4 linked regions of the Drosophila melanogaster genome follow. Changing the gene in region 1 together with any one later gene gives a genetic interaction. Each region holds a gene or a part of one and is shown in the gene's direction. Other genes may lie near its edges.

Region 1 (7,821 bases):
CCGATATATATATATATATATATATATATACATATGTATGTAGGTGTGACTGTGCGGAGAGAGTATAAAAGTGTGTGTTGAAAAAAACTTTCTACGCCTCAGTTCAAGTTACTTCCTTTTCGCTTTTCAATACGGTGTTATTGCATTGCATTGTGGAATAGCAAACCAATTTAAAGAATCCCAAAGGTAGGGCAAAAAAAAATGTTCAATTGCAGGGCTAATAAGCAAAAATCAAGTTAAGGCCACTCTAAAAAAAATGAACTGCATACTTATACGTATGCAATTAACTTTATTATTGATTTAGAGCGCATAAAAACGGCAAACTAATTAATTACAGCATTCCCTTAGAGCATTTCATAATCGGTTTTAAGCACTTTTTGTTGTAATGCCATTTTTCAGCTCTTTCGCTGCTGCGACAGGCGAGTGACAATAAATTGTTAAGTGCAAAAAGTTTACAGCATTTGAGTGAGTTAGTAATGGCAAACACACACGAACACGAACTTCAAGACGGTCTAAACCCGATTCGAGCTCCACTCAACCAACATCGAAGAAGCCCCATAAGTGTCACTGAGCGAAAAACTCGGTTAGTTGGCAAAAATGAGTGAAACATTGACGTTTCTTTGTTGTCTGTCGCTAGATCGGCCCACAAAGGAAGTCTCTTACGAATCGTACATACATCTAACTTTGAGTCAGCTAAAGATCTTCAGTGAAATAGGAAAATCATTTATTTCGAACTTTGAAGCTGTTGTAGAGCAGAACATATATGCATTAAAACTGGCACATGAAATAATGTTACTAGTGCTGAGTGAGACTTCTACAAATATCACATGCATATGCATAATTAACTTGCAAATCGAATCAAAAGCTATTATTCTGAGCTAAACTCTCAAAAGAAAACCATATTCATTTGAAGACCACTTAATCGTCGTCAGCAAATTAATTCCTGCAGATTCCTCGGCAACTGCAACTGCTAACCTGTTACCACATCGTCCGTGAAAATGGTATTGATAGCCTCCCGGAAAACCCGTCCCAGTCGAGATCCATATCCTGGACCAACTGGCCCCGATGATGAAGATTGATAATGCCCGGACAGCTGATGGCGGCAGTTCATGATTCCGGGGCCTGAGATGAGGTGCTAACGATGACGACAACGACCGGAGTGTCCGAAGTACGGGTGCGGATAGGCGTACGGGAAACGGGGAGTGCGGAATGCGCATCATCAACAGTCGCCGTTTGATAAATCATGCATGCAAAGTACAGTGCAAACCCCCGAAACGGGACGACAACAGGCGGATTAACAAGAACTCTCTTATTCACGATAAGAAGACGCTTCCCACTCAACCTAATCAGTATTCAAAGACAGCCACTCAGCTTATGAGTACTGCCCAGGTGGGGTACTATCATATTGGTGCAAAGGTGGTCGAATTTTTAATTATTTTGAACGGAACACATTAGCTAAACATAAACATGTTGTCACTAGTATGTATGTAAGTTAATAAAACCCATTTTTGCGGAAAGTAGATAAAAAAAACATTTTTTTTTTTTACTGCACTGGATATCATTGAACTTATCTGATCAGTTTTAAATTTACTTCGATCCAAGGGTATTTGATGTACCAGGTTCTTTCGATTACCTCTCACTCAAAATGACATTCCACTCAAAGTCAGCGCTGTTTGCCTCCTTCTCTGTCCACAGAAATATCGCCGTCTCTTTCGCCGCTGCGTCCGCTATCTCTTTCGCCACCGTTTGTAGCGTTACGTAGCGTCAATGTCCGCCTTCAGTTGCATTTTGTCAGCGGTTTCGTGACGAAGCTCCAAGCGGTTTACGCCATCAATTAAACACAAAGTGCTGTGCCAAAACTCCTCTCGCTTCTTATTTTTGTTTGTTTTTTGAGTGATTGGGGTGGTGATTGGTTTTGGGTGGGTAAGCAGGGGAAAGTGTGAAAAATCCCGGCAATGGGCCAAGAGGATCAGGAGCTATTAATTCGCGGAGGCAGCAAACACCCATCTGCCGAGCATCTGAACAATGTGAGTAGTACATGTGCATACATCTTAAGTTCACTTGATCTATAGGAACTGCGATTGCAACATCAAATTGTCTGCGGCGTGAGAACTGCGACCCACAAAAATCCCAAACCGCAATTGCACAAACAAATAGTGACACGAAACAGATTATTCTGGTAGCTGTTCTCGCTATATAAGACAATTTTTGAGATCATATCATGATCAAGACATCTAAAGGCATTCATTTTCGACTATATTCTTTTTTACAAAAAATATAACAACCAGATATTTTAAGCTTACCATGAAGTCCTCATTTCTTCCACCTTTCATTCTCAAATATTTTCTTGCTACACTACACTACACTACACTACATTATACATCGACCCCAAATAGTTGGATGTAGTAGATCGTAATTAGGGACGCATAACCAGTGGTGGCGTGGGAGGAGTCGGCTTAAGTTGGCCAACAACATTGCTGGGTGTCTATAACTCTAGGCTTGCCAAGATACTAGATACTGTATCCGTATCCATTTCTGGTTGTGTACTCGCATCTTCTACCTGATCTTAATACCTCGTTGTTTGCACGTCTCGCTCGACGAAAAATGTACAATCTAGTCTTATCTGGGTCATTATTTGGCTAGACGAATGCTTTGGGCTCAGCATCTGATATCTAGGTATCTTCGTGCGTATCTTGCTTTAAATTCTTAGCACCTCGGCTTGTATAACAAAATAAATAAGTGAGTACGATTTGCATATCTAGCCCCGGGCTCTTTGAAACAATTTTGAAAAGTCTCAAAAAGTTATACAAGGAGATAAGAACTTTAATTCTTTTGGGAAGTAAGTAACGCAGTAAAGGTAACAAAGTATTGAAAAATATGATATGTATGGAATATTTGAAGCCATCTTTAATTATATGTTCGTTGCATATATGTACATATTGGGCCGTTTACGCTCTGATATTTCCTTAATAATATCGAGTGGTCGTCAGCTTTTCCGCTGAATAATTGCGCCTCCTTCAGTATTTCGTTCTCATCAAAGTGAATGACTTTTGAGTGCACTCATTAGCCACTCGCACAATCGACAAAACGGGAGGAACAACAAATTGAGTCGCTTCTTTATTCAGTCATTTCAATTTGTCAAGTTCATCACGATACTCCTTCGCCTCCCTGCACAGCGCCATCTAGCGCCCACTCCTCGAGTTTCCTTCGTATTTCGTAAGTAATTCAAAAATAGCACGCAAAGTAAATAAAAAAAAAAGTAAGCCAAAAAATTAAATAAATATGAAATGTAGCATCTTTCGCTACTTATTTCAACAAAATACGAAAATAGGGAAAAGGTGGGAGAGTAAACCAGAGGAGGCAGGGAGATAAGAAAACCCAGTGGGAAAGGGACGGCGAAAACAGAAAAGAAAAGAAAACTTTTTAATAACATTTTTCGGCCTCATTTGTTGTGAAAACAATTTCGCCATGTCCCTCTATCTCTTTCCCAGCCATATGGCCATCTCGCTCTGCTCGAGGAGTGCCTGAAAACGGATATTACATTTTTTCGCGTCTACCTCTCGTAACGTCACCAATTGTGCTTTTTTTTTGGTAACAGGCCAAAAACTGGACACTGAGTGGCTAGAAGAATAAGCTGTCAAAGCATCGCAGCAGAAGATGAGCAGTGAAGCCTCGCTAAGGAGGAAATGCAACAGTTTTCAGGCTTTGGTCTTTTAGCTAGATTTTATATGTAGCAATGTAAACGATAAATCCAAATCCCCCAATCGTTTTGAAAAATAAATTTAATTTTAAATAGTTCAAAAAATGAAAGTTCTTAGCAGGGCTCACTGTAGCAAGGACCGCCAGGCGCTGAGTGCAAGGTGGACATTATTTTTTCTTGCTTTTATTGAATGTCAGCTTTTTATTTGGCCCTCTTCTTCGGATTTTGCCTTTCTCATTTGCTTGCATTTTTTTGCTTAATTTTTTTTATGATTATTTATACAAATTATTATGAGAGCAGCGGCGGATAAAATGCTTTCCATATTGTGGCCATCATTTTGTCTTGTTTTTTCCATTTTTTTTTTTTTTTGCCTCGACGCCAATTAGTGGATCCCTGTTATTTATGCTTTGCCGCAGGCCGCTGCGATGGCAAGAAACCCCACAAATGGAAAACGGAAAATTGTTTATGAAAATGAAAATATGCGCGAACGGAAGTGGTATGGGGCGAAAAGTTGGGGCGGGGAGGATGGCTTGATTTGACCATACCGCAAACGTCTTCGGTTACCGCCATTTCGAAAAGGGAAGCCCCACCTGGGCGAAAACTGACAGCTCAGTGGTTTTGGAAATCACTTTACCCGTAAACAAAATAACGTAAATAAGAATTTGTATTTCGGATTTATAAACTTAAACTCAATTGCAGAAGTAGTAGTTTGAACACTATTGCGTTCAACATAATTGGATCAAGTAAATGGACTGCTTTATACTGCTCATTGCACTTATCTACAAGAGATTGAGTTTTCCCACCACCCAAAAAAAGCCAAAGTATCCTTAAAGTTTTATATTTAATAAAAACAAAACTGGCGAAGCTCAAAGTCCCCAAACGAAAGCCAAAGATGCCAGCGATTTACACTCGCAATTGTCTTATGAGGTGGCAACATGGTGGAGGAACCTTGCCACTGCCACCACCCATCGTCCCATCGCCCCATCGTCCATCGCCCAACGACCTGTGACCCCGTCAACCGTCCACCGCCCACTTTCAAGGCCATCCACCAAGTGCCAGCCCTAATTTGCACATTTTAAATAGGCCTCGCCATCTCCTTTTTGGGAAACTTGGAAAACTCGGATCTTGGGCATTTTTATTAAACAGATGGGCTCCTTCTTTATAAAGCCGAGGGGGGGGGGGGGGGTTAGTGCCCGGAAACAGGGACGGCGGAGCAGGGATTGGCCAGGCTGGGCTAGATTTATGCACAGACGCCTTCATTTTTATGGACGAACGCCGTGAAATTGAAAAGTTTTCAGCTTGAAACCTTTTCTAGATGCACAAAAAATAAATAAAAGTATAAACCTACTTCGTAGGATACTTCGGGGTACTTTTTGTTCGGGGTTAGATGAGCATAACGCTTGTAGTTGATATTTGAGATCCCCTATCATTGCAGGGTGACAGCGGAGCGGCTTCGCAGAGCTGCATTAACCAGGGCTTCGGGCAGGCCAAAAACTACGGCACGCTCCGGCCACCCAGTCCGCCGGAGGACTCCGGTTCAGGGAGCGGCCAACTAGCCGAGAACCTCACCTATGCCTGGCACAATATGGACATCTTTGGGGCGGTCAATCAGCCGGGCTCCGGATGGCGGCAGCTGGTCAACCGGACACGCGGACTATTCTGCAACGAGCGACACATACCGGCGCCCAGGAAACATTTGCTCAAGAACGGTGAGTTTCTATTCGCAGTCGGCTGATCTGTGTGAAATCTTAATAAAGGGTCCAATTACCAATTTGAAACTCAGTTTGCGGCGTGGCCTATCCGGGCGAACTTTTGGCCGTGATGGGCAGTTCCGGTGCCGGAAAGACGACCCTGCTGAATGCCCTTGCCTTTCGATCGCCGCAGGGCATCCAAGTATCGCCATCCGGGATGCGACTGCTCAATGGCCAACCTGTGGACGCCAAGGAGATGCAGGCCAGGTGCGCCTATGTCCAGCAGGATGACCTCTTTATCGGCTCCCTAACGGCCAGGGAACACCTGATTTTCCAAGCCATGGTGCGGATGCCACGACATCTGACCTATCGGCAGCGAGTGGCCCGCGTGGATCAGGTGATCCAGGAGCTTTCGCTCAGCAAATGTCAGCACACGATCATCGGTGTGCCCGGCAGGGTGAAAGGTCTGTCCGGCGGAGAAAGGAAGCGTCTGGCATTCGCCTCCGAGGCTCTAACCGATCCGCCGCTTCTGATCTGCGATGAGCCCACCTCCGGACTGGACTCCTTTACCGCCCACAGCGTCGTCCAGGTGCTGAAGAAGCTGTCGCAGAAGGGCAAGACCGTCATCCTGACCATTCATCAGCCGTCTTCCGAGCTGTTTGAGCTCTTTGACAAGATCCTTCTGATGGCCGAGGGCAGGGTAGCTTTCTTGGGCACTCCCAGCGAAGCCGTCGACTTCTTTTCCTAGTGAGTTCGATGTGTTTATTAAGGGTATCTAGTATTACATAACATCTCAACTCCTATCCAGCGTGGGTGCCCAGTGTCCTACCAACTACAATCCGGCGGACTTTTACGTACAGGTGTTGGCCGTTGTGCCCGGACGGGAGATCGAGTCCCGTGATCGGATCGCCAAGATATGCGACAATTTTGCCATTAGCAAAGTAGCCCGGGATATGGAGCAGTTGTTGGCCACCAAAAATCTGGAGAAGCCACTGGAGCAGCCGGAGAATGGGTACACCTACAAGGCCACCTGGTTCATGCAGTTCCGGGCGGTCCTGTGGCGATCCTGGCTGTCGGTGCTCAAGGAACCACTCCTCGTAAAAGTGCGACTTATTCAGACAACGGTGAGTGGTTCCAGTGGAAACAAATGATATAACGCTTACAATTCTTGGAAACAAATTCGCTAGATTTTAGATAGAATTGCCTGATTCCACACCCTTCTTAGTTTTTTTCAATGAGATGTATAGTTTATAGTTTTGCAGAAGATAAATAAATTTCATTTAACTCGCGAATATTAATGAGATGCGAGTAACATTTTAATTTGCAGATGGTTGCCATCTTGATTGGCCTCATCTTTTTGGGCCAACAACTCACGCAAGTGGGTGTGATGAATATCAACGGAGCCATCTTCCTCTTCCTGACCAACATGACCTTTCAAAACGTCTTTGCCACGATAAATGTAAGTCATGTTTAGAATACATTTGCATTTCAATAATTTACTAACTTTCTAATGAATCGATTCGATTTAGGTGTTCACCTCAGAGCTGCCAGTTTTTATGAGGGAGGCCCGAAGTCGACTTTATCGCTGTGACACATACTTTCTGGGCAAAACGATTGCCGAATTGCCGCTTTTTCTCACAGTGCCACTGGTCTTCACGGCGATTGCCTATCCGATGATCGGACTGCGGGCCGGAGTGCTGCACTTCTTCAACTGCCTGGCGCTGGTCACTCTGGTGGCCAATGTGTCAACGTCCTTCGGATATCTAATATCCTGCGCCAGCTCCTCGACCTCGATGGCGCTGTCTGTGGGTCCGCCGGTTATCATACCATTCCTGCTCTTTGGCGGCTTCTTCTTGAACTCGGGCTCGGTGCCAGTATACCTCAAATGGTTGTCGTACCTCTCATGGTTCCGTTACGCCAACGAGGGTCTGCTGATTAACCAATGGGCGGACGTGGAGCCGGGCGAAATTAGCTGCACATCGTCGAACACCACGTGCCCCAGTTCGGGCAAGGTCATCCTGGAGACGCTTAACTTCTCCGCCGCCGATCTGCCGCTGGACTACGTGGGTCTGGCCATTCTCATCGTGAGCTTCCGGGTGCTCGCATATCTGGCTCTAAGACTTCGGGCCCGACGCAAGGAGTAGCCGACATATATCCGAAATAACTGCTTGTTTTTTTTTTTACCATTATTACCATCGTGTTTACTGTTTATTGCCCCCTCAAAAAGCTAATGTAATTATATTTGTGCCAATAAAAACAAGATATGACCTATAGAATACAAGTATTTCCCCTTCGAACATCCCCACAAGTAGACTTTGGATTTGTCTTCTAACCAAAAGACTTACACACCTGCATACCTTACATCAAAAACTCGTTTATCGCTACATAAAACACCGGGATATATTTTTTATATACAAACTTTTCAAATCG
Region 2 (6,924 bases), on another chromosome or scaffold:
GTAGTGCACAGTGAGAAATTCGCTGAAATGCTGTACTGAGATGATTGGTAGTGGTTCAAGGTACGGTAAGATGAGAATTTTTAAATTACTTTGAGATTTGTATACCAAAACATGACGCTCATTTACAATCCAATAATATTTCATGCATCAGAATCGAGTGAGGCTTAAATTTAAGAACTTTTTTCAATAGCTAATATTATGAAACCACATGCTTATTTCTTTCCGTGCACTAAACGTATCGTAATGTGGACGTGGACAGCGAACGCAGGGATTATTGTTAAATGCCACCCACTGAAATCGGAAAAAGAGCCCGATGAATGAACAAATGGACGACACAAATAGCGGCTGGCGAATTGGGCAATGTGTTGCGACTAAAAATACGCGCACTAGAACGGGCTGCCAAGATGAGAGAGACTAGAAGGCGAAGACAAAGAGCTAGTGGTAGACCAAGTTTTTGTAAAGGATTTCCGCTGTTTTGCTGCGTTGGCGCCCACCTCCTCTCTCTCTCCCTCTCTCTCGCTCGCTCTCCTCTCTTATCAATAAACAGAGCCCCTTGGCCCCACTCTATCTATCTCTATCGCACGCACACAAGCAAGCGGAAGCGATAAGTTGCTGCCATATAAATAATGTTGCAATCTAGGATAAGAATTTAGGGGTTCCTTATGTTCCTATTCGCATTCCCACTCCCGATCTCCGAGTGTTATATCACTTACCTTTGGCAATGGTTGCTCTCTCTCGCTCTCTTCCTCTTCGCTTCGCATTTGCTCTTCTCTCCGCACTACGCACTCCTCTTTCTAGTTCCCTTCGTTGTGCGGTAGCAGTCAGCTTATGTGGGGCGCCCACTCACAATTCAACTCATGCGCTCTGCATTTTCTAATTGAATTGTTTGCTCTCAAACTGTACAATCGATGCTGAGTTACTATAGCCGTACGTATGTGTGTGTTTTGGCCCAAGGAAAGGGGTACTGGGTACTGCTTTTCGCCAGCAGCGTCACAAATCAATCCAATCGCTTTTGCTTTCTTCCTACTCACTCGCACTCACGCACCATTGACTTTTTATTTTCACGCACACTGGCACACTCGCGACGGACACACGGATGGGAATCCGGCGTTGCGAATAACGGCAGAATTCGATTTACGGCAATTGTCGTTGGTGGGCGTAGGCAGTCAATGTTTTAACTTAACACTGGGCTTCACGCTGATGCAAACACACTCTGACAGCACAATATTTTTAAGTTTTCGGTTCCCAGCAGCCATGTTAGCGCGATGGAGTCGCATTTATATGTGCGGCCTGACTATCGTGGTGCATCGGTTTTTAGGCGGCGCGAGCGGGACGCCAATACAGCACCACCGCCACTGTGACCAGATGGCATTATTGAATTTAACAGCAATTTTCACATAATAGCTTGTTCCCACTGAGATGTAAAGCTAACTGACACGTTAGCTAGCTATAACTTTTTCGAAGTCTATATAATTCTCTTAACAGCCAATATGTTTTCTTGTTATTTAATATATGGCTTCCACCAACCAATAGGTTTATATATTAACCTAACCTAAGATTAAAATAATGATAACTTTCAGTGGAGATAGCTGAAATATCGATAACGACTGTCACAACAACATCGATTTAAATACCATCTCTATTTTATCAACGCAGCGTTTATTGGCTTTTTGGCGTGGAAAAGTGAAAAGATAATTGACAAAAAGTCCACAAAAGTGCCGCAACATGAACACACTGGGTCCTAAGAAGGACGGAAGTCCGAATATAGACTTTTTCCAGTCGCCGGAGACGCTGCAGGGCTTTGAATCGATTCGCCAGTGGCTGCAGAAGAACTGCAAGAAGGTGCGTGCCAACAACAACGCCGCCGCAAACAAAAATGGCGCTGTCAGGCGGCGAAAAAAAAACGATTTACTCACAACCGTATTTATTGCAGTATTTGGCCCACAGTTCGGAGCCCATCACGAAGGAGTCCTTGGCCCAATTGCTCATTCACTTCCTGCAGTATGTGGAAGCCAAGCTGGGCAAGAACTCAGCGGATCCGCCGGCAACCAGAATTCCGGTTAGTATTGATAGTGCCTGTGGTTGGTGAGGGGGACAGGGTGCCCCGTGTTGCGTGTGTACACGTAAATATTAATCCTCCAATGGCCAAATGTTTGGACCACTAGCTTATATTTTGTATTTAGCTACATGATTTACGTACATTAAAACATATCTCTAATAATCGTACCACCCACACCAGATGCGTTGCTTTCTGGACTTCAAGAGCGGCGGTGGTCTGTGCATCATTTTCTCGACCATGTTCCGTTTCCGGGCCGAGCAACGCGGCAAGAAGTTCGACTTCTCCATTGGCAAGAATCCCACGCGCAAGGATCCCAACATCCAGCTGCTGATCGAGATTGAGCAGGCGTTGGTCGAGGCGGACTTGTATCGCATACCGTACATCTATATTCGGCCGGAGATTGAAAAGGGCTTCGAGGGAAAACTGCGCGAGATCCTGGACAATCGACGGGTAGAGATTGTGTCGGACGAGGAGGACGCCACCCATATCGTCTATCCTGTGGTGGACCCACATCCCGACGAGTATGCGCGGCCCATTTTCAAGCGCGGCGGACATGTGATGCTGCATTGGTACTACTTCCCCGAGTCCTACGATTCTTGGGCTGTGAATAACTTTGACCTGCCCGATCACATTCCGGAGAATCCCGAGTCACCGGCGGAACGTTGGCGTGTGTCTGCATCCTGGATCGTGGACCTGGAGCAGTACAATGAGTGGATGGCCGAGGAGGACTACGAGGTTGACGAACAGGGCAAGAAGAAGACGCACAAACAGCGTATGTCCATAGACGACATCATGTCATTCGGCGACGAGAAGAAGAAGCCTGCTGCCAGCTCGGGCGGAGGCAAGCAGAAGAGACGCCGTTCACCATCTCCCGCCAGTTCGGCATCCACCTCAAAGCCGGGCAAGCGTAAGCGTTCTCCCGCCGTGGTGCACAAAAAGTCGCGCAACGACGATGATGACGAGGACTTAACTCGCGATCTGGATGATCCGCCGGCCGAGCCCAATGTTCAGGAGGTTCATAAGGCAAATGCCGCCTTGCAGTCCACCGCCAGTCCAGCTCCGGGCGGTAAATCTCGTGGCGACAACGACATGATGCCCATTAAAGGTAAGTTTTGTTATCTTATATCTGCATTGACTAAACAAACTGATATCTAGGTGGCACTATGACCGATCTGGATGACGAAATGACTGGAGGAAGCGCCGCTCAAGCCATGTCTACCGGAGATGGGGAAAACTCGCAGACAGGCAAGACAAGTGATAACAGCAACACGCAGGAATTCTCTTCATCGGCCAAAGAGGATATGGAGGACAATGTGACCGAGCAGACGCACCACATTATCGTGCCTTCGTACTCGGCTTGGTTTGATTACAACTCCATTCATGTGATCGAGAAACGGGCCATGCCGGAATTCTTTAACAGCAAGAATAAGTCAAAGACACCAGAAATCTATATGGCCTACAGGAATTTTATGATTGATACGTACAGGTAAGTTGAAGCTCCATTTTTTTTGCAGCAAATAGTTTTGAATATGTTACTCATCTATTTCAGGCTCAATCCGACGGAGTATTTGACCAGCACAGCTTGTAGGCGTAATCTTGCCGGAGATGTGTGCGCCATAATGCGAGTACACGCCTTCTTGGAGCAATGGGGCCTGATTAACTACCAGATCGATGCGGATGTCCGCCCCACCCCTATGGGTCCACCACCAACCTCACACTTTCACATTCTTTCGGATACGCCATCAGGTCTACAGTCCATAAATCCGCAAAAGACGCAACAGCCGTCGGCGGCAAAGACGCTGTTGGATCTGGACAAAAAGCCATTGGGTAAAGATGGCGGCCTGGAGTTGGGCGATAAAAGTGGTCTGACTGGCATCAAGACAGAGGCTCTAGAGAATGGCGCTGCCGGAGGATTAAGTTCCGGAGTGAGCCAGTTTGGACTCAAGCTGGATCAGTACGCAAAGAAGCCGGCGGCCATGAGGAATCGAACGGCGGCAAGCATGGCTCGTGAATGGACCGATCAGGAGACTCTGCTGTTGCTTGAGGGCTTGGAAATGCACAAGGACGACTGGAACAAGGTCTGCGAGCACGTTGGATCTCGCACTCAAGACGAGTGCATTCTGCATTTCCTTCGACTTCCCATCGAGGACCCGTATCTAGAGGATGATGGTGGCTTCCTGGGCCCCTTGGCCTGCCAACCCATTCCGTTCAGCAAGAGTGGCAATCCCATTATGTCCACCGTCGCATTCCTGGCATCTGTGGTCGATCCTCGCGTTGCCGCTGCAGCAGCAAAGGCTGCCATGGAGGAATTTGCAGCCATTAAGGTAGTTACATTTTAGTCACGTTTAAACCATGATTTTAACATCCAATGTAAAACTTATGCTAGGATGAGGTGCCCGCTACAATAATGGACAACCACCTGAAAAACGTGGAGAAGGCTTCGGCAGGTGGTAAATTTAATCCGAACTTTGGGCTGGCCAATAGTGGAATCGCAGGAACCGGAAACGACAAGGACGATGAAGAGGGCAAGGAGGGTGGCGCATCTGCATCCGCTGGCGGCTCTGATGAGGAAATGAAGGACCTAAGCAAAAAAGACGGTAAGCCAAAGCCATTAGAGATCGGTAAAGGGGGTTTATGGATGTTGGTTAAGGGAAAAGTCGCTAAGTCGAGCGAGTTTTCTTTTAATCGATTTTAAAGGGAATTTACTCAATTGTTGGTTCTGCATTTGTTTGTCTTGTTGAACTCTTGTGTTGCTTTCATTCAAAATTCGCAATTTGTTCACCATTTGGCACTGTATTCGTATATTGTTTCGTTTTTGTGTTGCGCCCAATCTACCAAACTTACATCAACACCACAACCATCAAATAACAAACAACAACCACAGACGATGCCAAGTCCAAAGACAATACAAAATCGGATAAGACCAACACAAACACAGACTCGAGTTCCACATCATCATCAGCGACAGGCAACACCAACAACACTGACAAGAAACCAAAGGAGTCGTCCGGCTCCTCGCCTTCGGGCGATAAGTCAGCCATCAAGTCAGACAAATCAAACAAATCCTCACCCACAGAAACCGCAGCAGCCGCAAGTGGTGGCGAAGTGGACATCAAGACGGAGGACAGCAGTGGCGATGGCGAAACTAAGGACGGCACTGAGGCCAAAGAGGGAACGGGAACCGGAACAGGGCCATTGGCGGTGCCAAAGGAAGGAACATTTAGCGAAAATAACATGCAGACTGCGGCGGCGGCAGCTTTGGCATCGGCAGCAGTTAAAGCCAAACACCTGGCTGCCCTGGAGGAGCGTAAGATCAAATCCCTGGTGGCTCTCCTTGTTGAGACTCAGATGAAGAAGCTGGAGATCAAATTGCGCCACTTTGAGGAACTGGAGGCCACCATGGAGCGAGAGCGCGAGGGATTGGAGTACCAGCGTCAGCAGCTGATCACAGAGCGTCAGCAATTCCACCTGGAGCAGCTAAAGGCAGCCGAGTTCCGAGCGCGCCAACAAGCACATCATCGTCTTCAGCAAGAGCTCCAAGGCCAGGCGGCCGCGGGATCAATGATCTTGCCGCAGCAACAGCAGCTACCACAGGCCCAGCAGCCGCAGCAGCAACAGCAAACGCTGCCACCTCATCCGCACCTGGCGCAGCAGCAACAGCTGCCTCCGCATCCGCACCAGTTGCCGCCGCAGTCCCAACCGCTAGCGGGTCCCACCGCCCAGCACCAGCCGTTGCCCCCGCACGTAGTGTCGTCGCCCAACGGTGCTCCCTTTGCAGCGCCACCGATTTCGCTCACGGGAGGACTCCCGCCGGGCGCACCCACGGCCATTGTCACGAATCCGAGCGACCAAACCGGACCAGTCGCAGCGGGAGCAGCGCAATCTCAAGCACCTACACCCATGGGTAAGAACTTTAACGGATAACAATTCATAAACTATAATACTTAGACATCCAACTCCCGCCATAGATACTACACCACCAAGCAGCGGTCCAGTGTCAGATGCCAACGCACCGCCGGGATCGGCAATGCCACCAGGGGGAATTCCTCCGGCGAACACTGCTCCCATCGCCGGCGTAGCTCCCTCTTCTTAACTCTTACTCATAAGCCAGGAAACGTTAAAGTAAATAGCTCTAAGTCGTACGCTCTCAGTATGTATTATGTATACTCCACTTTAAGCCCAACTCTTGTGTGTAATCTGAAGGAGATGCACTACACATTGACGCGTCTCCAGTTTTGTGTAAGTTTCATTTCGTGTCCGGTCGCGTTTACAAGCAATTGCACAAATATTTTGAACCAAGTTTCAAAGCCGAAAAATAGGCATTCAATAAAAATTTATTTAAACTACGAGTGGCAGTTATTCCTTTATTTTTACAAAAGCAAAAGCTTTTAACTTACTTGAACAAGTTAATAAAATATCTATAATTTAAACATTATTTAATTACCATTTTTGAGTTTAAGAAATATACTAAGCTAGCTGCGTAAAATGCAGCCAAGTATTTAAGCCTTTTTTGATTGGTTATTAGATCACTGAAAGCTGGCGACGCCGCAGGATGTTTGGTCGCTTGATCTCTCTCATCAAGTCGTTACTCGAAGCAGCACGCTTTACGTTGGGCGAGCTTTGCAAGGAAAGTGGTGATGCGGCGGGAGATGAAGGTGGATGACTGGAGCAGGAGCCACTTTGGCATACCCTGGGAGGGGGCGGTGAAGATATGCTGATGTTGGCTCTCATGCTCAATTCGTTGGAAGTTGTTTCCGTCAGAATACCAACGTTACTCTGTGATTCTTCCAGTGACTTGCGTGTTTGCGCACACTCCAGGTGGCGGCCATAGTTGCCCATACTTTGGACATACACACTGTTGTAGA
Region 3 (6,061 bases), on another chromosome or scaffold:
TGATTCGAACCCAAAAAACGCTGCAGGAAAGTCCCAACCTGGGGAACGCGGAATTGATCGAATCCTTCGCAGTTGGTGTGGAGAAGGAGATTCAGTACGCTGAAGAGGTCACCGAGATCGAGGTTATAGACCTTCTACCCGAGGAACACCTGCTGGAAGAGACGGAAGAGCCGTACGAAATATGTGAGCAGAACGAGCAGCCCCAAGTGAAGGTTCCTGCGCAGGAGAAGAAGCTCCGCAGAAGTACAAAGACCACGCCCACAGTCTTTACCTCCGTTAAGTTTGCGGACAATAGCCAGGCCACGCGCACCCAGTGGAGCAGACTCACCGAGGACGAAGTGGTGGCCCTAAAGCGGGAGCGACGCAAGCGGGATTGCATATGCGAGCAGTGTGGCCGGCACTTCACCTGCCCCAGCAACTTCAAGTTGCACCTCCTCCGACACACCGGCGTAAAGAGCTTTGCCTGTGACCAGTGCTCCCAGCAGTTCTACACTGCTACGCTTCTGCGGCGCCACCAAGAACTGCATGCGGGGAATGCTTTGTTTCAGTGTCGCTACTGCGAGGCAACCTACAGCAACGCCAGCGGACGCATCCAGCACGAACGCATGTACGACAGAACTCGTTCCCATTCATGAAACGTCTAATGCTTTTCACATATTTCTGACCACTTTCCATTTCATCAGGCGCCACACGAATGTCAAGCCCTTCACGTGCAAGGAATGCAATAAAAGCTTTGCCATGAGCGGAAAACTCCGCACGCACATGCTGAGTCACACCGGAGTGCGAGCGTTCCAGTAAGATCTTAGTTACCTGAAGTTTTATTGAGGATCCTTGACTCTGTTTATCTGTTTTTCAGCTGCGACTCCTGCCAAGTCTCCTTCGTTCGCCGCTCCCACCTGACCTCCCACTATCGCTCAAAAGGTCACGCCCACACTTCAAGCGCCCAGGCGGCACTGGACAATCCTGTGGAACTGGACGTGAAGGCCAGTAACGGCATGCAGACAGGGGCTAAGGATGAGGCTTTACTAGGAAAAAGTGGATCTTAGGATAAACTGTACTAAAAATCAATGGATCCCCGATCTGATATTCGGATTAATACTCAATGCACTTAATATTAATCGAAAATGGAATATGTTCAAATATGGCTGTGTTGAATAAAAACTGATTTTTTCAAAATGGCCAATAGAGATTACCTTACTTAGGCTGCGCACTAATTTTTAGTTACATTATTTTTATGTTTTAAAATATAATAAAATCTAAATTCGAACATTGTTTACCGGCTTGGGGAGTAGCCAGCATTTTAAAATGTCATGAGCCTGGTCACACTGTCTTGCACTAAATAAATTAGGGGGCGTCTTTAAATTGCAAAATTTCTTGCAAAATCAGTAGAAAAGTGCTTGGAGCTGCTGTTACAATAGATCCTAAGACCAAACGTTCTTCTCCGGAGGATAATACCTGGAACCATCACTAACCCCAATTCAAAAGTGTCAATCTGTTTCCGCAAAACTGCATGTGGTGTTTGTTTCGCTTGTTTGGTTATTTTTCCCAACTAACATCCTCTCTCTAAAATCTCGATTTCGTACTTGAATTGCGCAGCTTTTGCTTTGGGATTTTGTCCGACAATTAGGCAGAATCCATAGCGAAAGACGCAGCAAGTAGCATCGTTTACAATCCGCGAAAGTGCAGTCGCAGAATTTTCCGGCGGGGCTTCTGGCTTAACCAATGTGGCACTTCCAATGAGAAATCAATTGCAAGGCGTTGGATGCTCTCAGTATTGGTTATTGGCGAGATTGGCCCCGGGACAGCATTACTAGACAGTTCCGATCAGTCCGCACTAAACCCCTCCCGCTTTAGACACACACATCCAATACAATGGCGGAGAAGCCGCTGGCCGACTGCCCGGACTCTGGGCAGGTCCGCAAGCGTCCCCGGCTGGAGGACGAGGAGCAGGAGCTCAAGGTGGCCGGCTTTTCGCTGAGCGCCATCGAGGAAATGCGGCGGACCAGGGACAACGAGCTGCAGAACGAACCCATGGACCAGCAACTGCGACAGTTCCAGGTTCTCGACGAAGTCGGCTCTGGCAGCGATGAGGATGATGAGTCAGGTGAGTCGGAAACGAAGCTCGGATATTCACTCAGGTCATCCAGATCACAGGCTGTGCAATTACCACCTTTTGTTTCACAGTGCAGGCGCAGTTCTTATCTCAAGATCTTGGGGGCCTATCATTGTGCAAATACAGGAGGCTGATAAAAGAGTCAGCCGGCAGGTTAAACCCTGATATAGCAGCTTCAGTTTTCCTTTATCTTATTGTAAGGCAGGTGGTGGCAGTTTTGTGCGGACAGTTCCATGCGCATGATACCCATTATCCGACTGGCTTGTCCAGTTGCGTCAGGTAGAGCCAGTAATAATGAAGGATCACTTTAATTAAACATCAAAGAGCTAGACAATTAGGTGCCAATGGCATTCATTCAAATATTCCGTGAAGATGGCCATCAACTTCGCGGCTGGTTTTCCATTTCCCAGACAAACAGACAACTTATTTATCCGTGATTGTATCTCCTTACATGGCAACCAGACAACGCTAGCGAGCAGCAGGGCGGAAGGTATGGAGAAGGAGGCGACGAGGAGGAAGAGGCGGCTGATGGTGACGGCGAAGAATACGATTCCTCGGAATTCGATGATGACGAGATCGAGAATCTGCTGGACGAGAAGCTGCCCGAAGAGCTCCGCGAGTCAAAGCAGCCCAAATACGAGCAGCGTTTCAAGACTGTGCTGGAAGGTCAGTGCTTTTCGTCGAACCAAGTGTCCAAGATGACGAGTATTTTAATGTGACTACTCTTTTAGAAAAGCGCCTCAACCACTTTGAAGTCCTACCCGAGGGATGGGTGCAGGTGACCCACAACAGTGGAATGCCGCTCTTCTTGCATCGCAAAACTCGCGTCTGTTGCGCATCGAGGCCCTATTTTCTCGGCACTGGAAGTGCCCGCAAGCATGCAGTGCCCTTGGGAGCAATCCCCTGTCTTAACTACAGGCGGGCTTTGGAGGAAGAGTCGGAGGTGGAGCAACAAAAGACGGATGGAGCGCCGCCAGTGGCTGTATGTCCCATGGCCGGAGCTTCCGCTTTACCGGCCGAAGCCATGGACGTGGAGGGAAAAGAGAACAACGAAGGCAGCACCGATTCCAAAACCCAACCAGATGGAATAACTGCCCTTATGCCGGCTGCTAAAATTGTTACGGTCAACGAGAATACCCAAAAGGAATCCATTACACCGGAGCAACTAAACACCTACTGCCAGAAACTCTTCAAATTCAAGGTGATTCGTGTGCTGCGATTTCGGAGTTGGAATGCTCGCCGCAAGTTCACCAAAAACCGCAAACACATCAAGAATATTCAACGACCCACGCTGCCGGATGGCACTAAGCTTATTAAGTTCCCAATACTAGCGAATGCTGGCGAAGGATCAACGAACCCGCGCGGTCGGAAGGAGTGGATCATGAATCCCAATGGCAAGAGCTTCGTCTGCATCCTGCACGAGTACGTGCAGCATGCTCTGAAAACGCAGCCCACCTATGAGTTCAAGGAGCTCCAAAACGCAGCCACGCCTTACTCCGCCACCGTATCGGTGAACAATCTCAAGTATGGCACGGGCTATGGCACCAGTAAAAAGCAGGCCAAGTCAGAGGCGGCTCGGGAAACGCTGGAAATACTCATTCCCGATGTCAAGGACAAGATAACGGGCAACAATAAGGACCAAAAGAGCGGCACTGCGAAGAAAGCGCAGAGCGATCTGTCTGTAAGCAATCTACCTATAGAAAATGGAACCACTTCTTATTTTTATATTTCTTGCAGGTTTTCGATGACATCCGCATCGAAGATCCCCGAGTCACCGAATTCTGCAACAAGACGACGGAGCCATCTCCCAACGCCATTCTGCTGACTTGCTTGCAGCGCAACTACGGCAGCGATGTTCAGATCAGCCAGGAGATCAACCGCACCGCGAATAACAAGAACGAGTTTACCATGACCGTGGGCAAACATACTGCCAAAGTGGTGTGTAAAAACAAGCGGGAGGGCAAGCAGTTGGCTTCGCAAGCAATCCTCCAGGTGAGCATTGATATTTCTTTATAACTTTACTTATAGCTATTGAGTTAACCTTTCGTCAGATTTTGCATCCGCACATCCAGACCTGGGGTTCCTTGTTGCGCCTCTACGGCAACAACTCCATAAAGACCTTCAAGGAGAAGAAGCTGGAGGAGCAGGAGATCACCGTGCTGCAGAGCAAGGCGGCAGTCAACCAACCCAACTACGCCATACTGGACAAACTTAAATCCGAGATGTTGAAACTGTGTGCCAAGCAGGAGAGCGTCCTAACCATGGGCACTTTTGTGCCGCCAAGCGACGTCGATCTGCCCACTTCCTCCGGGTCCAATTTGAACAACGTGGAACTTTGATTGGGAAACACACATCTCTCTCGCCAACATTGATTCTCTAGTAGTGCATGACAACCTCCTAGTCTCTTAGTTACCCACCCATTTCCATATTCGAAAAGCTAATGACAACAACGACGCGTTCTCTAGAGGCATACGAACTGATTTCAAATCGGCTTCATCTATCTGAGCTGGTTAATCTGAAGTGGCTTTAGCAAGTGGCCAAAAATGAAGAACAATTGCCTATCAAGTGGTTTTACATTAAGGTAAATTCATCACTAAATTTGCCAAATATAAGTAGTTCATGCTTGCAATAGCTAAGATTAGGGGTTCAATTTCACTTGTATAATATAAGCTTGAATAAAATACTATTAAAAACGCAGTCCTTTATATTTGAGTATAGAGATGTTCGTCTAAGATCTTTATCTGCAATACCAATTAAAAAAGTAGAGTTCTTAAGTATTTGACAACTATTCATTTGGGCAGACAGCAGGACAATTATTTGCTCATGATTTGTTTATCAAATTTCCTCGTAAATCTTCTCGTATCGCTTTCATTCTTGGAACGTTCAAACACCATTGACCCGTAACCAATTTGGAAGACATTTTAAAAAGTCGTATGGAATATAAAAAAATGCATATTTACATGGCCATTAGGATTCTCGGGTGTTTTTAGGCGGTCGGTCGTTAGGTGAGTGGATGTTAATATTTAAGGCGGTGGGCAGGGTGTAGGTTCGTAGGTGTGTGTGCGTGCAATTATTTAAAAGACGATGCAGTCATAAATTATGCTACATTTTCATTTCATTCTAACGTTTCCTTTTTTATAGCATTCCAACGAGCGTGGCACACACACATACCCACCACGGAGAATGCGGAGAGACAGTCGCAGAGAGAAAGTCCGAGAGAGAGAGCGCGGGAGAGCGGCGCAGGCGCAGATCCCGGATTTTGCGCAGCAGCCATGCTGCGAGATGAATTGTGGCGAGTTCTGACTTGCCAATTCGCAGGCCATATCTGTATCTTCAGTACGGATTCTTCGCGTGGCGAGAAAACCACTTCCCGGCGCTCCTATCCTCAGGACTTTCGTCTGGGATTTGTAATTGAATCACAGTAACTCGGGACAGACCGAAAAAAAAAACGGGGAGAAAAACAGAAAGCCAAGAGGTGAATTCGGTGGTACAGCTGAAAAAAGGCCAACTGCAGTGCAGAGCAGAATCATTTTTATTGACATTCATCTTAGTTGCCCCCTCATCCCTCGGTGCCCCCAAAAAAACCAACTTCATAGCCCCCCAGTTCCTCGATTCTCGACTCTCGACGTTCGATTCCCGGTGCTCGTGTGTCGCGTGTTGCAAGTGCGTGGGTCGCGCGTCAAATCAGTGGATGTAGCAAGCGGTACGACACGCGCGCCGTTTTTGATTTTTCGCCCAGCGGCCCAGAAATCGGGCCTGGGAAAAAAGTGCGGATATTCGGTGAAAGACGGAGCACTCGGAAAATAAACGGAAAATCGGGTACACACACGCACTCCTGTACACCGTGTCCAATGCATTTGGCCCGCTTGGCCCAAGCACTCGGAGATATGTAAATTATGCCAAATTCCATTGGAATTTCCGTCAGAGCCAGTGAATCGGTAAGCAGCA
Region 4 (7,826 bases), on another chromosome or scaffold:
AACCGAAGCCGCGAGAGCGCTTCGTCTTGGGATCCTTCATCACCACCACGTCGACAATGTTGCCCCACTTCTCGAAGTGAGCCTTCAGGCCATCATCTGTGGTGCGGTAGTCCAGTCCGCCGATGAACAGTTTGCGCAGCTGCTCTGGCTCGGTGATCTGCGGGTGAATTTCAAATGCATTAGCTAAAGACGTTCTATAATTTAAATAATTTCTAAAAACAAAAAAAAAACCCATTGATTCGAAAATAAGTTGTAATATTAAATTAAATTAATTGATTTCTTTGGACAAACTTTGCGAAAAATGTATAAATTTATATAATAAAAAAAAAAATCATACTGTATCTAAATGAATAAATGTATAAAAAATATTTAAATGTATAATAAGTTGCTGTAAATTTAATAAAAAAATAAGTTGCTGTCAATAAGTCAATAAGTTTATGTCAATAAAACGATAAAAGTGCAAAATCATCCTTGATCAACAAGGATTTGCCATTGTTTATAATAGTAATTTACCTGGCGAGAAAAAGCCGCTCGCCATATTTTTTTTTTTTTTTTTTAGTATTTGCACCGCCATGACAGCCCGTATATGTGTATGTATGTATGAATTTTCGTTTTCTTTTTTATCAAACAGCCGGCAACTTTTTTATCGGAAATTGCTTATATTTCTCGCCAAAAGAGGTCGATAAACTTTTAGCTGGCTAAATTCGCACAGGGATCGATGGCCCCCATAATTCGGTAAAAAAGCGGCGTGAATGTATATTATACACGAATATTGTCGGCGTCGACATTTTGCACTTTCACGCGCGATGAACGATTTACAAACAGCAATTGGTCATTCTGCAACTCACCTCTTCACCATCGTCGTAGTTTCCGTTGGAATCGTTTTGTTCCGCCATTCTCTCCTTGGTTGTTCAAGAAGATGGAAAGTTTAAACACCGAACGCAGGAAATATTTTTTTTGTTTTTGTTCTTTTTTGACGGCAGACTGGCAATAAATGAAATGTACAGCACGCACAATGAGAATGGAGTGAGCAGTATGACCAGGTGTCGAGAACGGGGTAAAGTCGGAAAATCGGACGCCACGTGGAATCGGAACGATTGTTTCGGTGCGTTAGGGGTGTTCCTCGACAATTAAGCTGATGCCACACTTGATTTTATATATCTTCATATAAATTTGTATTCGTCTAGTAAGGGCTTAAAAATATTAGACAAGTTTATTGTATATATTTCTGAACAAACGGATTTGAATGTATTATCTTTATAAATGGATTATGATAATTACTACCACGATAACCCAAGAAACATTTAATATGTTTAACTTTTTAGCTAAATATGTATTATTATTAATACCGCTTACATAACTCTTTCTGCGAGCATTCGCTTTAGCTGGGGCGATGGAAGGCTTCACTTTAAGAGATAACTTGTAAATTATTTTGTATTGAATTGTATATTTGTAAGTAGCCAGCTAAGGGTCAATCAATATTACAATTACGGGATCTATGAGGCATTTGGGAATAAAAAAAGACATCGTGCGAAATAAATTAATAAATCCAGAAACATTTTATGTATATCATCAAATCAGAAACGTTAAAAAATGCTAATGAGTGCTTGCTAGCAGATATCAAAATAAAAAGGTTGTTAACAGTATATTCAAATGCTACTACTAAGTATATTTAATGTTTATTCTTTTCATAGCGGAACACGAACAGCAACTGGAATACCCTTAACGCAGCGAAACGCATTGCCCGCCCAAAATATCGATAGGCGAAAAAGTATCGTTCCATTCCGCCTTTGGAATGACTGTCAAACATCGCTTTCGTCTGTCACTTTCACTTCCGTTTGTGTCGAGTCGCTTGCGTTTTTTCGTGTGGGAAAGCCTGAAAAAGAGAGAGTACGGCAGCGACTTAATTGTAAATTTGCCACAAATATCCTTCACTGAACGGTACGTGCTAGTGAGTACGCTTAAGTGAAGAACAGCGCGTATTTCGCGTTGTTAAATTAACTCGTTTTTGCAGCGGTTCTGTACACCCGGTACATTGCGAGCGTGTGTGTGTGTATGTGGTGGCCGCCATCTTGGCGAAACATACACGGCGCGTACATATGTGCGTTTTTTTTTTCTTCCATTCCTAAAGGACAGTCGAGCAAAATAGAAGCTGCAAACTGCAACGGTTCCCTTGCTGATATATATATATATACTTCACTATTTTATAGCACCTGCTCCAGATACGTAAGGAACCGTTATCATGGTGGGATCTCGAGTGTATGTGGGCGGTCTGCCCTACGGAGTGCGCGAGCGCGATTTGGAGCGCTTTTTCAAAGGCTACGGCCGCACACGCGACATCCTCATCAAAAATGGCTACGGCTTTGTGGTGAGTACAAAATATCATATTTAACTGGAATATGTAAAAAAAAAAAATCGGTTAAATTTGATTTGAAGACATTTCTGCATTTCTCTGTTTGTCTATAGGTTTCCTAACATTTCAAGCCGACCCTTGAATACTTTTTTTTTCTTTTTGAACCTATATTTGTTCCATCATTTGTCTGTCAAATACAGTGACGCTTAAAAACTGTTCTTAAATTCACCCAGCGTATTTCCATAAGAGTATGCACAGGCAGGGTAGCTTCAATACTAATTCCATAATCAATACTAATCACTAATTGAATTTTCAGGAATTCGAAGACTATCGTGATGCCGACGATGCCGTCTATGAACTGAATGGCAAAGAGCTGCTTGGCGAACGGTGAGTTGTTAGATATAAGCCAAAGTACGAAATGACTCACGATTGTATGTTCTATATTTTTGCAGTGTGGTTGTTGAACCCGCCAGGGGTACCGCTCGTGGCAGCAACCGCGACCGCTACGACGATCGATATGGTGGTCGGCGGGGGGGCGGGGGCGGTCGTTACAACGAAAAGTAAGTAGTACTGCCAGCGGACCTTAAAACCGGACCAAAGTAGCGACGATATCGTCCTCCAACTTTGTTTGCGTTGAAGTTTGCCCTAGAATTAGCACTGCCAATTTGTTTCGTTTGATATCTCCATCCACACAGATGCAACCAGCTTAGATCGTGCAAAATCTATATACCTATAATATTAGCTACTTGCGATATATATAAAAAACATCAGTTTATTATATATTGACTTCTATAGTTTTATACACTTTTGGTAGTGCAATCGTATAAGCTGATTTCTTCTGCGTGGAAGGGAACCAAAAGACACTGACTTGCTGTTAATATTATCATTTCCAAGACGCTCCGTTTTCCTATGCATACTATTGTTGCTTTTATTTGCACGTTCCACCCATCCGCATAGTATGTAAAATGTTTGATTTGTTGCGCATAACCCAAATGTAAATATGCATATGCTGGAATATATTCACCATTACCGTTAATTTTTGTGATGGAGCATCAGGAGCAGCAGCGCAGTGTCAATACTAATTAGCGAATCCATTCAATTATTCACCAGAAACAAAAATTCCAGATCATCCTCTCGTTATGGCCCACCGTTGCGCACTGAGTACCGACTGATTGTGGAGAATTTGTCTAGCCGCGTTAGCTGGCAGGTAAGTGAGCATGGATCGATGTATCGCGCCTTGGGCGTGGTATATACTGTAGCTTAGATTCGAGGAGTGTAGTACTAGAATTAAAACGGCTAACCGACTGAAATGGATCACTATTACAAACACCCATTAATCAACTTACCCATCCCAGAACCAACCTTTTCGAGCCCCTTTTTGATTTCGAATTACTTTCCGGTGTCTTCGTCCTGTTTTGTGTTTTAACTCCTCCTCCACTCTGACTAGAGCCAATTCTATAATCTGTAATCTAGCCCTAAGCTGTACAGTTGACCTAGACTTAAGTGAAACACGAAAACAAAAGATATTGCTAAAACCCTGGTACTGATCGGTGTAATCTACCCACCATTACTTTCTCTTGCACACACCAACCGAAACCGATAATAAAAAGAGTTTGATGTGCTTTGACTGAGAGATTCCCTCCTCGGCTTGGGGCCGAATCTAAAACTGAAAGAGAATCAAATCTAATTGAATCGCTGTGAGAAAGACAAGCTAGTCTAGTGACCGACCGACCGGTTCAGAATGTTACCCAAAAACCAAGATGCGGTGGAAGACAGAGTGAGACAGTACCCAGAGCCGCCCCAGATTGGTTTCGATATGCGAACTACGATCTGCAACCTACGACCGACCTCCACGAAGCGCCATCGCCGCCGCCTCATCCATTCGTCGTCTATTCCAAATAAAACATAATATAGAACACATAACGAAATGAACAAGTCGATCAGAATCGAACCCAAAACTGAATGCAAAATCGAAATCAGAAAGCAGACGATGACGATGGACGTTGATGAGCTGCCCGGGTCAAAAGGCCAGCCCACGTATTAAAGCCCACACTGATTGAAAAGACGTGGGCTGGCCTCTTGCGTTAGGTATTTAACTCTCTGCTAAAAACATTCACAATTTTAATTACCAACAATATTATATAAAGAATTGTCAAATTCCTTATAGCCATTGTGAGTGTGATGAGGGTGCGAATCGAATCAATCGAGTGTGGTTAGATGAGAAGCTTGCGTTCGCTAATTCTAAGATGATGTGATGGTCTTGGCGACGATGAGGGATGAGCATATGACGATGATCGATCGATGACGATGACACGATGCTGCGATGCTGGTCGCGCGTTCAGTTACCAACTTCGGCTAGTGCCTCCGAACTTATTCCTTCCCCCCATTCCCGGTTCTTCTGGCTTCCGGCTGCGGCTCTGGCTTATGGCTGCGGCTCCGGCAAACGGCATACGGCTACCTGCCCCGTCTCCGGCTGAGACTACCGACTAGACAACCACCAACCCAACCCGTTGGAGAAGCGAGAGCAGCGTCCCGAAACGTATTTCTTATTTTTGCAGTTCGTTTGTGCGTGAGGTGCCGATGCCGCTGGTTGTTGTCCGCCTCTGACCGGCAAACTGCTCCAAATGCTCCATTCTCTGGCTCTCTGGTGCGGTGGTTCTGGCCAGCGATGTCTGCTCTGATCTGATCTGACCTCCTCCTGACTGTATCCGGTGTGTGGCTTCCTCCGAAACGAAACGAAAACAGCTACCGCAACACTTGAATACCTTTTTGCCATTTATAATATGATTCTGTTGTACATGAAAAACATAACAAAACTGTGTACTTGGTGGTACGTACGTGGCCAAATGAAAACGAATACCAAATCCAAACAAACAAAACGTAACGAGCTCTGGCCATCCATCCGCTCATCCGCCTGCCTGGCCACTGGTTCTCTTCTGGCTGACTGGTTGAGTTAACGATGTTCGATCGGACTTTCGATGAGGTCATGAGGTGTCCTTGGTGTCATTGGCCCACAGTTACTAGGCAGACAATCTAAACTCTCGGTGTAGAAACGATGTGTGTGTCCTCCTCTCTCTGAAAGCGCATTAAGTAAGAATTCAATTACAACTATTTTGTTAACTTTAATTTATTTCCAAACCAAATCAACTCAATCTATATATATATATATATATCTACTATCAATTGCCAACCACTGTTAACTATGATTGTTTACGCTTAAGTTTTGTGCCGCGTGCAGCGTGGAGTGTTTGAATGTTGTGTTCGGTACGTTCTGGGCACCTCCTCCTTCTTTTTTCCTGGCCAAGCGAAATCCTTCGTCCGGAGTGAGGTTCTCGGTTTCCACACGTAGGCAGGCGCGACAAGAGCACAGGATAGACGAACACAGGGCACTGAGTGAGAGAGAGAGAGGGACTTGTGAGAGGCTGGGACTTGGTTAGGAGCCCCAAATAATACCGAAAACATTCAAAATGCTCCATCTGCTGCACGGGCTGTCCTTTGAGTTGCAACCACTGCCGTCGGATGTGCGATGTCGAAATGTGCGAGACATCTGCCAAAGCTGAAACTTACTAATTACTATCTTTTCGTTCCGACTTTGTGCGTCCCTGCAGGATCTCAAGGATTACATGCGCCAGGCTGGCGAGGTCACCTATGCCGATGCCCACAAGCAGCGTCGCAATGAGGGGTATGTTTGAAAATGGTTGAAATTATTTTACATACAACCAACTACAATTGTGTTCCTTTGCAGCGTGGTTGAGTTCGCCTCGTTGTCGGACATGAAGACGGCCATTGAGAAGTTGGATGACACCGAGCTAAACGGCAGGCGGATCCACTTGGTCGAGGATCGTCGCGGAGGACGCAGCGGTGGTGGCGGCGGCAGCGGACGTGGACGCTCCCGTTCGTCCAGCTCCCGATCGCGCTCCCGATCCCGCAGGCGTTCTCGCTCTCGCCGCTCGTCGCACTCGCGCTCCAAGTCTCGCAGCCGCTCCAAATCTCGTGGCGGACGCTCCAAGTCCAAGTCGCCAGTCAAGTCTCGTTCTCGCTCCCGCTCGCGATCCAAGTAAGTAGAGAGAGAATAAAGTCTGGTAGGGATCGTACTTAATCACAAATTCTTTGTGATATATGCTTTAATATTAATATTATATAGATTTTACACGATAGAAAATATTAATTACGATCCTCCCTGGCTTTTTACTTCATATGATTGCCCACTAATTAATTACTTCACTACTTCCGCTGCAGCAAATCGCGTGACGTGTCCAAGTCCAAGTCAAAGTCCCACTCCCGCACCCGCTCCCGTTCGCCCAAACGTGAGCGTGACTCCCGTTCCCGATCGCGGTCCGTCTCGAAGCGCGAGTCCCGTTCCCGCTCACGTTCCAAGTCCATCCACCGCGACTCCCGTTCACGGTAAGTTTGGCCACAGTGCGATGACCATGGCTCCATATTATTATAGACCGTTCACGATTCTTTCTTTCGTGCTTTCTTTGGTTTTGTTTGGATGCACCTGTTTGTAGCCCGCCAACGGTGGTCGTTCAAAAGCTCGTTCTATAGTTCACTACAATGCCTTTCTTTTGCAGCGATCGATCCGCATCGGCTGAAAACAAGTCGCGTTCGCGCTCACGCTCCCGTTCGGCCTCGCCCAAAAATGGAAACGCCTCACCGGACCGCAATAACGAGAGCATGGACGATTAGATTAGTTAGCTGTCCCATTAATATTAAAACACTTGATTTTAGACTTCTACTATAACTATTCTACAAACATCAACACTCAGACACCCCGACTACAACCAAAACTTAATGAATATGAAATCATACCAATCCACCACTGTCGGGCCTCGTCATTTTCTTTTAAATATATAACGACAATTTGTCCTAAGTCTTGTTGTGGACATGGGACATTGGCTGGAAGATGACAGGGATCGGCTGAATGTGCCGATTTGGATTCAAGGAGTACATATAGGCCACGAAATTACTGCGACTTGTACACCGGAACACTTAAAATTGTCTATACAATGAGTAATTTCAATAAATACGGATAAATTTAAACTATAAATGTTTGCTCGCTGGTTTCACTTCAAAAAGGATATAAAGTACTTCGACGATTTTAATCATATAAAGTTAGTTTATTGTTTTTCTTTTTTGTTGTCGTAATTTCGGAATATAAGTATATTACAAAGTCTTAGTTTCACTATTTCGCATTATTTGCCTGAATTAAAATTACAATTTCATTTGATTTTATTTATCTTGAATTTGAAGAACGCCAATGATAATTTTGACACCTCATTGGCTGAAATATATCCTAGTTAAATATTTAAAATTTGAAAATGAATTAGCAATCTAAAATCAAATGCATAACTAAGTTTTATAAACTGACAAAGTTTTGGTTCTAACAATATATATCGTTTGTGTTTTGCTTTTAAAGTAATTACTTGTACGAATTAAGTACACTATTATATACAAAGCACATAGGGATAAA

The links.
Region 2: of w (region 1) and mor, changing one enhances a phenotype caused by changing the other (phenotypic enhancement), as found in Drosophila melanogaster (3 studies listed by BioGRID).
Region 3: of w (region 1) and pasha, changing one suppresses a phenotype caused by changing the other (phenotypic suppression), as found in Drosophila melanogaster (2 studies listed by BioGRID).
Region 4: of w (region 1) and B52, changing one enhances a phenotype caused by changing the other (phenotypic enhancement), as found in Drosophila melanogaster (2 studies listed by BioGRID).

Annotation. Positions count from the first base shown.
Region 1 is NC_004354.4:2,790,443-2,798,263, reverse strand, and holds w (white), read left to right. Parts: upstream 1-1,797; 5' UTR 1,798-1,955; coding exon 1,956-2,027; intron 2,028-5,135; coding exon 5,136-5,409; intron 5,410-5,483; coding exon 5,484-6,138; intron 6,139-6,199; coding exon 6,200-6,515; intron 6,516-6,718; coding exon 6,719-6,850; intron 6,851-6,920; coding exon 6,921-7,535; 3' UTR 7,536-7,665; downstream 7,666-7,821. UniProt on the Drosophila melanogaster protein: ATP-dependent transporter of the ATP-binding cassette (ABC) family which transports various molecules including bioamines, neurotransmitters, metabolic intermediates and second messengers.
Region 2 is NT_033777.3:15,967,614-15,974,537, reverse strand, and holds mor (moira), read left to right. Parts: upstream 1-1,624; 5' UTR 1,625-1,725; coding exon 1,726-1,842; intron 1,843-1,933; coding exon 1,934-2,059; intron 2,060-2,239; coding exon 2,240-3,164; intron 3,165-3,214; coding exon 3,215-3,545; intron 3,546-3,608; coding exon 3,609-4,383; intron 4,384-4,445; coding exon 4,446-4,656; intron 4,657-4,943; coding exon 4,944-5,963; intron 5,964-6,027; coding exon 6,028-6,152; 3' UTR 6,153-6,404; downstream 6,405-6,924. Other genes in the region: Rbf2 (Retinoblastoma-family protein 2), read right to left, coding at 6,581-6,924.
Region 3 is NT_033777.3:31,616,666-31,622,726, forward strand, and holds pasha (partner of drosha), read left to right. Parts: upstream 1-1,762; 5' UTR 1,763-1,872; coding exon 1,873-2,104; intron 2,105-2,323; exon of another isoform or gene 2,324-2,346; coding exon of another isoform or gene 2,347-2,392; intron 2,393-2,575; coding exon 2,576-2,779; intron 2,780-2,844; coding exon 2,845-3,794; intron 3,795-3,850; coding exon 3,851-4,105; intron 4,106-4,164; coding exon 4,165-4,452; 3' UTR 4,453-4,694; exon of another isoform or gene 4,695-4,809; intron 4,810-5,254; 3' UTR 5,255-5,552; downstream 5,553-6,061. Other genes in the region: CG1792 (uncharacterized protein), read left to right, coding at 1-607, 684-794, 857-1,046.
Region 4 is NT_033777.3:13,659,492-13,667,317, forward strand, and holds B52 (B52), read left to right. Parts: upstream 1-1,819; 5' UTR 1,820-1,951; exon of another isoform or gene 1,952-2,210; 5' UTR 2,211-2,242; coding exon 2,243-2,368; intron 2,369-2,669; coding exon 2,670-2,740; intron 2,741-2,805; coding exon 2,806-2,913; intron 2,914-3,463; coding exon 3,464-3,560; coding exon of another isoform or gene 3,561-3,617; exon of another isoform or gene 3,618-3,963; coding exon of another isoform or gene 3,964-3,984; exon of another isoform or gene 3,985-5,961; coding exon 5,962-6,035; intron 6,036-6,098; coding exon 6,099-6,410; intron 6,411-6,592; coding exon 6,593-6,757; intron 6,758-6,864; coding exon of another isoform or gene 6,865-6,901; exon of another isoform or gene 6,902-6,927; coding exon 6,928-7,042; 3' UTR 7,043-7,400; downstream 7,401-7,826. Other genes in the region: Hrb87F (heterogeneous nuclear ribonucleoprotein at 87F), read right to left, coding at 1-157, 849-896. UniProt on the Drosophila melanogaster protein: Essential for development. May have a critical role in splicing or in controlling alternative splice site use of at least some pre-mRNA in vivo. Not required for all splicing. May play a general role in the condensation or decondensation of chromatin.